Linked DNA regions of Macaca mulatta. The protein of the gene in region 1 binds, or shares a complex with, the protein of each later gene. Links are inferred from orthologs where the notes say so. Each region holds a gene or a part of one and is shown on either strand. Other genes may lie near its edges.

Region 1 (5,186 bases):
AAATGGATATATGTATACATATTGTTATGAATATTATTCAGCCATAAAAAGAAATAAAGCCTGATAAATGCTACCTGGAACCATCATGAATGAACCTTTAAAACGTTATGCTAAGTAAAAGAAGCAGTCACAAAAGACCACATATTGTATGGTTCATTTGCATGAAATCCCCAAACTAGGAAAATCCACAGAGACAGAAAATAAATCTATGGTTCCCAGGGGTTGTGGGGAGGAGGAAATGGAGAATAATTGCTAATGGGTATCACAGTTGCTTTTAGGGTGATGAAAATCTTCTGGAGTTAGATAGTAGTAAGAGTTGGATAGCTTCATCAGTATACTAAGAACCACTGTATGCTTTAAAAGGATGAATATTATGGTATGTGCACTGTATTTTAATAAAGGTGTTATTTTATATATTTATTTATTTATTTTTGGGGTGTTTTTTAAAATTTTTTTATTTATTTTTATTTTTTTTGAGACGGAGTCTTGCCCTGTCTCGCCCAGGATGGAGTACAGTGGTGCAATCTCGGCTCACTACAACTTCTGCCTCTGGGTTCAAGTGATTCTCCTGCCTCAGCCTCCTGAGTAGCTGGGTCTACAGGCATGCGCCACCATGCCCGGCTAATTTTTGTATTTTTAGTAGAGACGAGGTTTCACCACGTTGGCCAGGCTGGTCTAGAACTCCTGACATCGTGATCTGCCCACCTTGGCCTCCCAGAATGCTGGGATTACAGGCGTGAACCACCTACCCAACCTTAATAAGGGTGTTAATTAAAAAAACAAGCTAGGCACCTAGGGTATAAAATTGAAGGAGGCTCTGATTCTCAGGGCCACGCAAATGCAGGGCTGGCACCTATGAGTGTGGCCCTCCTGAAATGTTGTGCCTTAGGCACCTGGCTCTCCCTAATTCAGGCCCTCAGGAGAAAGCCCTAATTCTGGTCAGTTCGCAACAGGAGGACACGGCTTCTGGGAGACACTCGGTGCTCCAGAGAGAGGCATTTGGTCCGTTCTCTTCCTCTGGACGTCACCGTGCCGACATGAAATGCTTCCAATTGCGTCCAGCCTAGGATGGAGCGGGGTGGGGGGGATATCTGGTGACATTACGAACTGCTGCATCAACTCCCCCGAGTCCCTGCCTCTGGACCCCCGAGAGAGGACACAAGGAGTGTCCGGAGCCCATGTGACTCAGTGTCTCTTCCCATCACTTCGCGGGAAAATGGGGCTGCTTACACCGCACCGCAGCCCAAGCACCTGTGGCTGGAGAGGGGCTCGGGCGCCAGGAGTGAGGAGCCTGGTTCTGGGCCCGGGACCGGTACTAGTTAGTGGTGGGACCTGGAACAAATGGTACTAGTTAGTGGTGGGACCTGGAACAAATGGTACTAGGTAGTGGTGGGACCTGGAACAAATGGTACTAGTTAGTGGTGGGACCTGGAACTAATGCTTTGCTTCTAAGTGAATCCCTCATATTCATGACAAGAGGCGTGGAACACAGACCCATGGGGCCTTCCCACTGGAACATGGAGCTTGGCTGTCACCCGACTTCGCTTCCTGAGGTAGAAAAGCCCAGGGTTCCAGGCTCTGTCTCCTTTCCCGCAGACCCCTTGTTTCTTGGCGCGGAGGCCCTGGGCCCCGCAGGCTCCCACCCACTTCTCTGGGCTCAGAACTTCTCTGGGTTCAGAACCCGATCCCGAAGCGGCCATGGTGCTGCCGGTGGCCGAGGCCGGGCGCGCGCCTTGGGAACCTGGCTGGCCTCAGGCTGGCGGGAGCATTCGCGGACCTCGCCCTGGGCCGGGAGGACTGGGGGACCCTGGCCTGCCCCTTCCCCTAGCCCTGACCTCGGCCACCACGCGCTGGTCCCGCCAGGCTCCGCCTGAAGGCAGAAAGCGGGGCGGGGGGGGGGGGGCGCCCGATCCTGCGGTATAAAAGCGGTGTCCGCAAAGGCCCTAGTGGGAGTCCGCGGCGAGCGCAGCAGCAGGGCCGGGTCCTGCGCCTCCGGGATCGGCGTCCAGGCTCGGAGCGCGGCACGGAAACGGCGGCGGCGCTGGACCAGGCGGTAGGTGCGGGCGTCCCCGCGCAGGGCGCTGCGGGTGGCGAGGCTGGGTGCGCGCCTCGGGAACCTGGCTGACCTCAGACCGGCGGGAACATTCGCGGACTTCGCCCTGGGCGGGGCGAACTGGGGGGACCCTGACCTTCCCATGTTCCTAGCCCTGCCCTCCGCCACCGCGCGAACGCGCGCGCCTCCCAGGATAGTCCCGGCAGGCGCAGCCCCAGTCAGGCGGCTTGTCAAGTATGGGAGGAGCCTAACAATCCCAGACAGTTTAAAAGGCGGTGCCCGCCAAGGCCCGAGCGGGAGTCCGCGGCGACAGCAGCAGCAGCAGCAGCAGCAGAGTCACGTCTTGGGCCCTGGGGATCGGCGTCCAGGCTCGGAGCGCGGCACGGAGACGAGGTGGCAGGTGAGGGCGTCCCCGCGCTGGGCCGGGGTCGGGAACGGGAATGGCGAGCTTCAGGTCCCCCGGCTGCCACCGAAAGATGAGACCTGAGGACAGGAGAGGTCGCTCATCCAAGAGCCCCGGGGAAGCGGTGGTGTCTCGGCGGGTCAGGAACGGTCTCTGGGGGGTCCCCTGCAGCGCGCAGCCGGTTTCCGCCTCCGCAGCTCCCCGCCAGCGCGGACGCCGCCCTCCCCCACGCCTCCTCGCTGCCCTTCTCTGGCCGAAGCTCTCCCCTGCAGCCCCTCCCCACCTGCCAGCCCTGTTTTCTCACTGCTCCTCTCTGCTCTGGGATCCGCAGGATGACGTCTGTCCCGGTACTTCTCTTTCAAAGTCACCAGTCTCCAGTTCCAAATCCGAGCACTCTTACCCATCCTAATTCTTTCAATAATTCAGCGAAACGGATGGGGCCCGTCCTTCCCCGGAGCATATTTCCAGGGACTGTGAATCCGCGAAGCCAGGCTCAGCCGTCGCCTGCAGGGCCTGCGGTCTGTGGGGACCGCCAGCAAGATGAGGAGTCACCTTCGGGACGAACGGTCGTGCTGGGGAGGGTTGCGCCGGCGGGGTCAAGGGAACCTCCTTTAGGGTGGGAATCAAGCCTCCAGGCCGCGGTGTTTGAGGGTGAGTAGAATTAATCCCGTGATGGACATGGGGCCTTGTAAGGGGGACCAGGAGTTTGTGAAGAGGTGACTTTGGGAGGGGTTCAGGATGGCCAGAGGTGGAGGCTGTGACCTGAGCGAGGCTGGATCAAGGGAGGGGGCAGGTGGAGAAGAAACCGTTTTAACAAGGTGGCTTTGAGCGGATCCTAAGGGTTCTGGGAGATTTAGGAGGAAGGCCAAGAGGATTAAGACACCGCTTTCTGAGGATGTTGTGTGGCTGTGGCATGGTGGTGGCTGAGGGAAGCGGGTTGTCTTCATTGTCCAAGGCTCTCCAGTGCTTTGCGTGGCGTTTTGGGGAGCACACATGAGGTGTCCCGACAGTGAGGAGTGGCTCTAAGGTGAGCAGAGGCTCGGGAGGGGGCCTGCGCATTAGGCCAGGCACAGGATCCGAAGTGGAAAGAAATGTGGGCGAAATGTGGGCGTAGAGGGCAGGCCTTGGGGATGGGTGTGGGGGACGAGGGGGATGGAAAGGGGTCAGGGAGGTCTCCCAGGCTCACCTGGAGGAGTGAGGGTCTCATTTCCAAGGGCACTGGGAACTGCAGCCTGGGGGTGGGGGTTCATTTGGTTTCAGACCTGTGGCGAAGAGACCCACCCCCTCACATTCACACTTTGGCTTCCACTAGCTTCAGAGGTAGTACTAGCTCTTTGTTCTCGCTGGTTTTCCTTCCTCACCTTGGGCTGTTTCTTGCCTTTTCCATTCTGGTGTTCTGCAAGGACCAGTTCCTTCGTCTCATGTACCATCTACACTCATGGCTTTTGCTGGGAGTAATGAGTAAAGCTCCCAAATAGATGTTTCTGAGTTAGAGCACTGAAAACAAAATGAAGCAAAAACAATGCATTTCCAATCTTCCAAGATCACATGATGTCCAGAGGACAGTGATGGGCAATGACTTTTTGTCTTCCCCATTAGAATGCAAGTTCCACAAATGGAACACGGAGATTTTTATTTATTTATCCTTTTTTTTTTTTGAGACGGAGTCTTGCTCTGTCACCCAGGCTGGAGTGCAGTGGTGCAATCTTGGCTCACAGCAACCTCCACCTTCTGGGTTCAAGCAATTCTCCCACCTCAGCCTCCTGAGTAGGTGGGTCTACAGGTGTGCGCCACCACGCCCAGCTAATTTTTGTATTTTTAGCTTCATCATGTTTGCCAGGCTGGTCCGTAACCCCTGAGCTCAGGCAATCCACCCGACTGAGCCTCCCGAAGTGCTAGGATTACAGGTGGGAGCCACTCCACACAGCCAGAACAGAGATTTTTTATGTTTAATTCACAACCGAGGCTTCACTGCCTAGAACAGATGCTCAGTAAATATTTATTGAAGGAATGAATTCCTTTTTGTATCTCTTGTATCTATCACCAGATACTCTTGTATCTAGTACCTATTTGGCATACAGTAGAAAGCTTTGTTGAGTGAATAGCTCTGCCTTTCGTCTTTTTTGGTATGTATACATCTTTTAAAAAATAATGAATAGACTTTTAGAGCTGTTTTAGTTTACAGCAAAACAAAGCAGAAAGAAAATATCCCCTCCCACAAACATCCTGGACTGTATAGCCTCCCCTACCATCAACATCCTGCATTAGTGTGGGGTATTTGTTACACCTGATGAACCAACATAGATACACGGTTATAAAAATGAACCAATATGGATAAAACATATACATTATCAGTCAAAGTCCAGAGCTTGTTAGGTTTTGCTCTTTGTGTATATTCAAGATACATTTGACAAATGTATAATGAGATGTACCCAACACTGTAATATCAGATTCCACTGCCCTAAAAATCCCTTGTGCTCCACCTACCTATCCCTCCTTCCCTGCAAATCCCTGGCAACCACTAATCTTTTTTACTATCTCCACAGTTTTTCCTTTTCCAGAATGTCACATAGTTGGAATCATACATTATGTAGTCTTCTCAGATTGGCTTCTTTCACTTAGATTTATACATTTAAGATTGCTCCAGAATTTTTTTTTTTGTGGCTTCAGAGCTCATTTCTTTTGAGCCTTAATATTCCATTGTATAGATGTGCCACAGCTTATCTGTCC
Region 2 (4,526 bases), on another chromosome or scaffold:
TCCCAAGTAGCTGAGACTGAAAACATGTGACATTGCACCTGGCTAATTTTGAAAATATTTTTTATAAAGATAGGGTCTCCCTATGTTGACTAAGCTGGTCTCAAACTCCTGGCCTCGGGTTGATCCTCCAGCCTTGGCCTCCCAAAGTGCTGGGATTACAGGTGTCTGTGCCAGGTCCAGTTTCTTTCATTTTAAAACAAGATTTTTTTTTTTTTTTTTTTTTTTAGAAAAATTAACTGCTCTTGAAGATATCTTAATATGGTTTTAGTATTTATTTCTGGTGACATTTGAAAATGTGCACTGCTCATATGTTTATATGCTTATTGGCCATGTCTTCCATTTTTTAATCAGTTGATAAGGAATACAAATCGGTAACAAAACCAAAGCCACTAAGTCAACCTGAAATGAGTCCTGCTGCACCTGCAGCCGTCAGAAATGATGTCACAAAGCAACGTGCTGCACCAAAAGTCTCTCCTCATGTTAAGGTAGGATGAGGAGAGTGGAGTGGTCTTTGTCCTTGTAAGAGCATCACTGTCACTGTCATTTCCCACATTGTTCTCTGTTCTTTATCTCAGAGCATGCAAATAAGGGAATTAAGGCCACAGTGTGAAAAGCACTCTGAGTCACAAAAACAGGAACTACCTCTGATTAATCAGATTAAACACCTGTTGAGCTTCTAATCTCTGTCAGGGCCTGGACACATTAACACTCTGTTATGGTTTGGATTCTATAAGACGAAAACTCTGAGATAGACAGTTGTTTACAGGAAGTCTATTTTAGAGCACTTTCAGAATTAGTATCTGTGAGGAAGTGAAAGGAGTAGAAGAGGAAGAATGTCAAGTCCAATATAGTTGCAATAGAGGCCTTGGCCTACCCCACAGGGAGCTCGGGAGCTGAGAATGCCCTTCAGGGCTCCCAAGACTGGTGGGGGAGTCTGTGGTTTGCACAGACCCAGGCTCTGGGTCACATCAGAGATCTATTGCAGAGACTCTTACACTCGGCCTGGCATGCCTCTGTTTGTTTTCCCCTGTATTTTCCCTTAGTTCTTGACAGCAAATTGCTTTTTAAAAGTAATGTAAAAAAGCCCTTTATACACCTGCATGGACAAGGTGAGGTGGCCCTGTTTAGCTGAGAGAGTAGTGCCTGAAGAGTCTCATTGATGAGAATGATTACTTTAGTCCTGAGGGAGCGGCAGGCAATATCGGAAAGGCCCAACACAGAATCCACCACACATGCAATTTCATTTCCTGTGAAGCAGGTGTTACACCATTTTATAGCTGTGTGAGCTCTAGAAACTGATTACACATACTTCATTCTCTTTGTCTAGAGGAGCCATTTCCTCTGGGTTTGGCCCAGAAACTTCTGGATTTTTCAGAAAACAAGGTTCAAGTATACATGGTGTGATTCCATCACCAGTAATGAAAATATGCATCATTCAGTCTGGAAGACTCAACTAAAGATACATGGACCAAAGAGGACTTTTGTAGTGGAACTCAGTGGAACTGACCTTTACCTGCATTGATCCAAATGCAGTCAGTTATACTGCCCGTCAGGGCCCCTTACTGGCCCCAGCTCCACTGGCCCAAGCTTCAGGTCACATCGGAGACAGCCTTCGAGACTCCTACACTTGACTTTTTATGCCTCTGTTTGTTTTTCCCTGTATTTCCATTTGGTTCTAGATGGCAAGTTGCTTTTAAAAAGTAGTATTTTCTCCCAAAACAAACCAAAAAAGGTATCTTATCTCTGTTAATTCAGAAAAATAAAAAACACAGAGAAGCGAATAAAATTACCTATAATTGTATCATCTAGGAAAAAAATATTGATGTTGGTAAATATCTCTGTAGTGTGTTTGTGTGTGTGCTTTAACTGCTTATTTATCCAAAAAGAAAGAGATTTTTTATCTGTTTAGGACCTTTCCCTTTATTGAGTCAGTTATAACAGTTTATCACATTATTTCTCTAAAGCATTTTTAATATTTGCATAGTAATCTATTTGTGACTATACCATATTTTGTTTAACCAAATTCTATTTTTTATGTATTTAAATTATTTCTTTTTTTATAATTTCAAATAATAAGATATATTTTTAAAATGTAAACCTTAGTGCATAATTCATTATTTAAGGGTAAATCCACAAATGTAGTATCAATTCTCCTTTTAAATTTCTCCTTTAACTCACTTGTAAGATCTCTGACCTAGGTCTCCCCCTTAACTCACATTAAACATAGTCTACATTTTGTTACGTACAATACCTCCCTAGGAATTTGGGGAACCCTGTGCAGGTCACTGAGCTCTCTCACTTTTATACCAGAGTAAAATGAATGTTTAGGACAGTGTTGGATAGAGAAACAAGGATATATTATGCCCGAATGGAATCCATAGAAGATGGAATCAGATTTATCAGATTTACCCCGAGGCTTAGCAATATTTCAGAAATCTGATGAAGTCTTTTTATATAGCACATGGCAAAGCAAGGATTTGGTTTTAGGGATCCTTCCTCCAAAACATGTTACACCGTCTTATCTGAATACAGGAGTTGAAATCTTCCTTCTGCACTCTCTGTTCCATCTAGATCATTCTAGGCCTCAAGTCTCTTCTTATCCCCTCTGTGTCTCTTCCCTTGATTCCACCTGTCTTCTGTGGCTTCCTGAGGCTTAGCACTGTGGGTGAAGGAAGGTCCTCTCAATAGTACCTTTTTGACTCACAGCTGATATCTTTCTTCTCTTGTCTTCAGCCTGAGCAGAAACAGAGGGTGGCCCAGCAGGAATCTATCAGAGAAGAGTTTCGGAAAGACTGTTTGCCAGTTATGGTACTGAAAGCAACAAAGCCCTTCACGTTTGAGACCCAAGAAGGCAAGCAAGAGATGTTTCATGCTACGGTGGCTACAGAGAAGGAATTCTTCTTTGTAAAAGTTTTTAATACACTGCTGAAAGATAAATTCATTCCAAAGAGAATGATTATAATATCAAGATATTATCAGCACAGTGGTTTCTTAGAGGTAAATAGCGCCTCATGTGTGTTAGATGCTAAATCTGACCAAAAGGTTGATGTCCCGCTGAACATTATCAGAAAAGCTGGTGAAACCCCAAAGATCAACACGCTTCAAACTCAGCCCCTTGGAACAATTGTGAATGGGTTGTTTGTAGTCCAGAAGGTAAGTTTTCATAGCTAATTTCATATTGATTAGTAAGAATAACGTATTTTCCATCTGATCTTAAAGAGACTTTAGAAAAGGTGTTAATGTCTATACAGACAAAATAAAAAAATACAAAGTTCTAAAGAGCTGCAGAGTTAACATGCCAAAATTCATACGAAAACTCAAAAATTGTTTTTATTGTCAAAAATGTCACAATCCTGTTTCAACTTATTCTTATCCCAGTAGCCTCTGAAAAAGGAATTAGTTCGTTCACATAGTTTTTATTTCTGCGTTATTTTTGTACTTTGTCCATATTATCTTTATTTTAAGTGACTATTGTTGTGATTGCAAAATAAGTGTAGTTGAGTAATCAACCAAATTAATTGACCTGAAAAACCAATATGCAAGTCAGGATTAAAGAACTGTGATTAAATGAAGAAAACAGAAGAAAGAGTTAGCTTGAGGAGACTTATTTATTTCTTTCTTTTTAATTAAAAGTAAACTTTAATGTCGAAAATGCAAACTTGGGGAAGACAGAAAAGATCACATACAAGGCTATCACTTCACACTTGGAAGGTTCCACAGCGGCTGGCGCTCCTCACTTCCCAGACGGTGGGGCGGCCGGGCAGAGGCCCTCTTCACTTCTCAGACGGTGGGGCGGCCGGGCAGAGGCCCTCTTCACTTCCCAGACGGTGGGGCGGCCGGGCAGAGGCCCTCTTCACTTCTCAGACGGTGGGGTGGCCGGGCAGAGGCACTCCTCGAGGAGACTTATTAGAAGTGAGAAATAATAAAGTATTATGACTCTGAGCTTCAGGGAACTAGCCTTGTGGAATGACTTTTTCTGGTCTAGGGCAGGACCTGAAGAACCGTAGAGAGGGAACCTGCTGCCCCTGCATTCAGAGCCTCAGAATAACCTCTGCTGCCCTGGGTTAGTTTTAGAAGGAATTGATAGGAAGACTCTCCAGTCCTCTTGGAAACTCAAGTGTAAAATGACCTTGGATAGGAAGGTCATGTTCTTTGTCCCAGTTTTCAGCTTTTAATCTGGCCACTAACATATATTGATTTAGTCCATAAAATTAAAGCTAAAATACGATCAATCTCCGAAATAACTGACCAACCTCCTATTTCCTTTTGATCTAGACTTGATTGTGCATTATTTCTTGTCTTTGATTACTTACTAGACTCTCAGCTGGATCTTGCATCATTACCTCATGTCTCTCCTGGACTTGTTGTTTTAAATAGCTGTCTTCAGGCTGGGCACGGCAGCTCATGCCTGTAATCCTAGCACTTTGGGAGGCCAAGGCGGGTGGATCGCCAGAGTTGAGGAGTTCCAGATCATCCTGGCCAATGTGGCAAAACCTGTCTCTAGTAAAAATACAAAAATTAGCCGG
Region 3 (4,935 bases), on another chromosome or scaffold:
AAGCCAGAGAGGGAGGAGGAAAGCAGAGGCCCCGGGAAAGGAGTCACCAGAGAGCGGCCAGGCTGGCGAGCCCAGGGAAGCATCTGTGGGGTTCAGCGAGAGGGGTCGTGGTGACCTTGCGGGGGTGGTTTCTGGGAACCAGGGAGCAGAAGGGGTCTGGGGAGTGGAGGAGGTGAGACTCAGTGTGGATGGTTCTTCAGAAGTTTGGGTGGGAAAGGGCAGAGCCAGATGACAGGGGCTGGGGCCAGGCTGGGAGCCCCCATAAGATTTCAACCAAAAGTGGGGGCCAGTGTTCCAGTGCAGTGGGAAGCAGGCAGCAGAGGAGAGAGGAGCTGAATCCCAGAAGACACTGGCGTCCAGATCAGCTGGGCAGGATCAGTGGGGCAGACCCACCAGCTGGTGGAAAGACGCTTCCCAGGCAGCCCAACAGCACGTGTGGAGGTGTGGTGGGCAGGCACAGGCTGTGCGCCTGGGATGGTGTGGGCCGCTGGTGGGAGGTCTGGGGAGGAGGGTGAGTCAGTCTGGGGGTCAGGGCTCCGGGCCACTATCCAGCTGCTCCTGGCTCCAGGCCTGTCTCCCTTTGACCCACAGTCTCTGCCACTGCTGCCGGCCCAGAAGCTTTGTTTGAAGCAAGAATGCCCAGTCCAAGAATTCACCCCAAGGGGGATGCCGCCCAGAGAATCTACATGAAATCATGCTTTCTCGAGGATGCCACCATCGGCAACAGCAACAAAATGTCTATCAGCCCAGGGGTGGCTGGCCCAGGAGGAGTCGCAGGGTCTGGAGACAGGCAGCCAAGGGAGGACGCAGGTGAGCTGGGGTACCGAGTGGACCCCTGTGTGTTCTCTTTCTCTCCCCACCTTCCACTCATTCATTCATTCATTCTCATCAATCATTCGCTAATCTCTGGTTTCCCAGAGTCTGGAGGCAATGCTCACCCATAGCGAGGAGCAGCAGCTCTACAGTCAGAGCTCGAGGCTCCGTCCGCCTAGTGGAGGGGCCCACCCAAGTCACTTCACCCGGGAGCCTCTGTCTCCTTAGCTGGAAAGTGGGATGGTAAGAATAGCCTGAAGCAACCCCTACAGTGGTTGCAAGGCTGAGATAAAATCTGAAGGCAGAGCTCAGCCCTGCACCAGCCCTGCCAGCATTCAGGAGATAGGAGTGTTATTGCTGTCATGATTGTTTTGGGCCCAGAAAGGTGCTGGGTTGCCATGCAAATAAGGTTCTGCATCAGGGCACAGGCTGACCTGCCGCAGCAGAGACGCCACACATGGTGGCCCCGCCTGCTCGAAGCCCAGGTCTCATGTCTGGGTGAGGGTAGCAGACCAGGGATTCTTTTCCCTCAGGGATGAGTTGTCCCTGGGGCTCTATCCTCATCTGTGGGGTTGAACTTGGCACCAGCAAGCAGAGGGGCAAGACAGGGTACAGAGAGCCGCTGTTGTCTTTGACCAAGCCCACCCACCGCATCTGCGCTGTTCCGAGGGCCAGCACTTAGCCACGGGGGATCTGGGAAGTGCCGCCTGTGTCGAGGCAGCCTAAGCTCAGCAGAGACTGAGGGGAGGGGCTCCACTGCCAACAGGAAGAGGGGAGAGGGGACACCAGCGCGGTTCACCTTCCCAGCCACAGTTCTGCCCCTGGAAGCTGCACAGGCTGGTTGCAGAGCCCGAGGATCCCAACTCTGCAGAAGGGAGCTCGGGGCCTGGGGTAGGGGCAGCTGGAGAATAGGGCAGGTCCATACAAGGTGGATCCATACAGGGCAGGTGTACCTGGTGGGTGGAACAGTGTGGACAATGGCCTGGAGGTGAGGACATGACAGTACAGGAACCCACAGGGGTCTGAGGGTGACCTGAGTGTGGAGAGCAGAGCCAGGGTCTAGCTCCAGGCGGCAGTTGATGCTAAGGCAACTGGGAGCCATGGGGGCCTTAAGCAGGAGAGGGGCAGGATGAGATTTATGCCTCCCATATGAAGAAAGAATTAGAAGGAGGATTTGCACTCCTACCCTTTTGGGATCTGGAATAAGGGGTCACACCCAATCCCACCAGTGGGTAGAAAACGTGGATTCACAGAATCTGGAGGATTGGCCAGCATCCACCTTCCAGTGCCTGAAGGCCCAGGGGACGCATGTCCTGGAAGTCCAGAGGCTCTCCTCACCCCAAGGGCCATGTCCTTGCTGTCCCGGCACACTGAGGAGACCCTGGCCCCACGTGCCTTGCCTTCAAACTCTCCCTCCAGGACCCCTGGGAGCCCCATGTGACACCTGCGGAACGGGGGCCAGGAGCACAGGCCAGGAGCACAGGCCATGAGCATCTGGGAGCACGGACTCCCTTCCAGCAGCAAAGGGAGTCTCAGAAACCTCCAAGGCCACTGGGCACCCCCAGGAGGGCGTGTGCCACCAGTCCTCCATCCCCCACCTGGCTTAGGACCCCACAGCACAGGCCGTCTGCAGAACCCTGTGGGTCTCAAGCCAGACCACTGAAGACTCCTTTTTCTGGAAAGAACACAGCTCTGTGTTGTTAAAAAATGACCACACGCCCAAATTTGTCCTGCCACATCCTGACATTCTTCTCTGAGGTTCCAGCAGAGGAGCTGATGACATTCTTACCCCTTGTCCTGACCCACCCACCTCTCTTTGTCGCCAAGAGACATCTATAGGCATAGCTCAGAGATATTATGGGTCAGCTCCAGACCACCCCAATAAAGCAAGTCATGCAAATGTTTGATTTCCCAGTGCACATACAAGTTATAGTCACACGAGGCTGTAGTCTATTAGGTATGCACTCAATCACATTGTATCTAAAAAACAATGTATATACCTTAATGTGAAAATACCTTATTGCTAAAAGTGCTAAACATCATCTGTCTTCTGCCAGTCATCTTCTCTATGCTGGTGGAGGTCTTGCCTCGATGTTGATGGCTGCTGACTGATCAGGGTGGCAGTTACTGAAGGTTGAGGCAGCTGTGGCAATTTCTTAAAATGAAGTCCAACAATGAAGTCCACTGCAGCAATGGACTCTCCCTTTCACGAAAGCTTTCTCTGTAGCATGCAATGCTGTTTGATGGCATTTTACTCATACTAGAACTTCTTTCAAAATTGGAACCAAGCCCACCAACCCTGCTGCTGCTTTACCAACTCGGTTTATATAACAGTCTAAATCCTTTGTTGTCATTTCAACAATGTTCGCAGTATCTTCACCAGGAATAGATTCCATCTCAAGAAACCACTTTCTTTGCTCATCCGTAAGAAGCAACTCATCTGTTCAAGCTTTCTCATGAGATTGCGGCAATTCGGTCCCATCTTCATATTCCATTTCTAATTCGAGTTTTCCTCCTATTTCCACCACATCTGCAGTTGCTGTCTTCACTGAAGTCTTGAACCCCTCAAAGTCATTCATGAAAGTTGGAATCAACTTCTTCCAGACTCCTGTGAATGTTGATATTTTGACCTTCTCCCGTGAATCACAAGTGTTCTTAATGGCATTTAGATTGATGATTTTTTCCAGACAATTTTCAATTTACTTTGCCCAGATCCATCTGAGGAATCACTCTGTATTGCACTTATGCCTTTGTAAAATGTATTTATTGAAGAATAAGAAGTGAATGTTGAAGTTACTCCTTAATCCGTGGGCTGCAGAATGGATGCTGTGCTAGCAGGCATGAAAACAACATTAACTCTTTTTTACATCTCCATCAGAGCCCTTGGATGAACAGGTGCATTGTCAATGAGCAGGAAAAAAACAAACAAACAAACAAACAAACAAACTTTTTTTTTTTTGGCCTTTAGCCCAGGATCCTGAACACCCAGCTCCTGTGGTATGGACGATGAGCAGTAAAATGTTCAAAGGAATATTTTTTTCTGAGCAGTAAGTCTCAATGCTAGGCTTAAAATATTCAGTAAACCATGCTATAAACAGAGGTGCTGTCATCTAGCTTTGTTGCTTCATTCACAGAACACAGGCAGAGTCGATTTAGCATCGTTCTTAAGGGCCCTAGAATTTCCAAAATGGTAACTGAGGAAAGGCTTCAGCTGAAAGTCACCAGCTGCATTAGTCCCCAACAAGAGAGCCTGCCCCTTTGAAGCTTTGAAGTCAGGCATTGACATCTCCTCTCGAGCTATGAAAGTTCTAGATGATATCTTTTCTCAATAGAAGGCTGTTTCGTCTACATTGAGAACCTGCTCTGTCATGCAGTCGTGCTCATCAATGATCTTAGCTAGAGCTTCCGGGTAACCTGCTGCAGCTTCTCCATTAGCACGTGCTGCCTCACCTTGTACTTTCACGTTATGGGGATGGCTTCTTTCCTTAAACCTCATGAACCAACCTCTGCTTACTTCCAACTTTTCTTCTGCAGCTTCCTCACTTCTCTCAGCCTTTAGAATTGAATAGAGCAAGGGCCTTGCCCTGGATGAGGTATAGGCTTCAGAGACTATTGTGGCTGGTCAATCCTCCATCCAGACCACTAAAACTTTCTCCACACCAGCTGCAAGGCTGGTTCACTTTCTCATCACTCATGTGTTTGCTGAAGTAGCACTTTTAATGTCCTTCAAGAACTTTTCCTCTGCCTTCACAATTTGATTAACTTTTGACCTAGCTTTCAACTTGTCTTAGCTTTGGGCCTGCCTCTCTCACCAAGCTTAATCATTTCTAGCTTTTGATTTAAAGTGAGAGACATGCAACTCTTCCTTTCACTTTAGCACATAGACGCCATTTGGGGTTCTTTTTTATTTTTATTTTATTGAGATGGAGTTTCACTCTTGTTGTCTAGGCTGGAGTGCAATGGCGCAATCTTGGCTTACTGCAACCTCCACCTCCCAGGTTCAAGCGATTCTTTTACCTCAGCCTCCTGGGTAGCTGAGATTACAGGCCTGCACCACCACACCCGGCTAATTTTGTATTTTTAGTAGAGACAAGTTTCTCCATGTTGGTCAGGCTGGTCTTG

What was found. Proteins that work in one complex are often made in the same cells at the same time.
Region 2: RIPK1 (region 1) and AIM2 share a complex: the UniProt entries of both Homo sapiens proteins name them as parts of the AIM2 PANoptosome complex. The link is inferred for Macaca mulatta from reciprocal best matches to the Homo sapiens genes RIPK1 and AIM2.
Region 3: RIPK1 (region 1) and ZBP1 share a complex: the UniProt entries of both Homo sapiens proteins name them as parts of the AIM2 PANoptosome complex. The link is inferred for Macaca mulatta from reciprocal best matches to the Homo sapiens genes RIPK1 and ZBP1.

The regions. Positions count from the first base shown.
Region 1 is NC_133409.1:180,192,547-180,197,732, reverse strand, and holds the start of RIPK1 (receptor-interacting serine/threonine-protein kinase 1), read left to right. Parts: upstream 1-2,195; coding exon 2,196-2,453; exon of another isoform or gene 2,454-2,536; intron 2,537-2,653; exon of another isoform or gene 2,654-2,787; coding exon 2,788-2,803; exon of another isoform or gene 2,804-2,976; intron 2,977-3,183; exon of another isoform or gene 3,184-5,186. Other genes in the region: uncharacterized protein LOC144340588, read right to left, coding at 1,658-2,197. UniProt on the Homo sapiens protein: Serine-threonine kinase which is a key regulator of TNF-mediated apoptosis, necroptosis and inflammatory pathways.
Region 2 is NC_133406.1:107,858,043-107,862,568, forward strand, and holds part of AIM2 (interferon-inducible protein AIM2), read left to right. Parts: intron 1-351; coding exon 352-485; intron 486-2,733; coding exon 2,734-3,153; intron 3,154-3,589; exon of another isoform or gene 3,590-3,902; intron 3,903-4,343; exon of another isoform or gene 4,344-4,500; intron 4,501-4,526. UniProt on the Homo sapiens protein: Sensor component of the AIM2 inflammasome, which mediates inflammasome activation in response to the presence of double-stranded DNA (dsDNA) in the cytosol, leading to subsequent pyroptosis.
Region 3 is NC_133415.1:110,408,256-110,413,190, reverse strand, and holds the end of ZBP1 (Z-DNA-binding protein 1), read left to right. Parts: intron 1-591; coding exon 592-810; intron 811-2,232; coding exon of another isoform or gene 2,233-2,303; exon of another isoform or gene 2,304-3,349; coding exon 3,350-3,597; 3' UTR 3,598-3,759; downstream 3,760-4,935.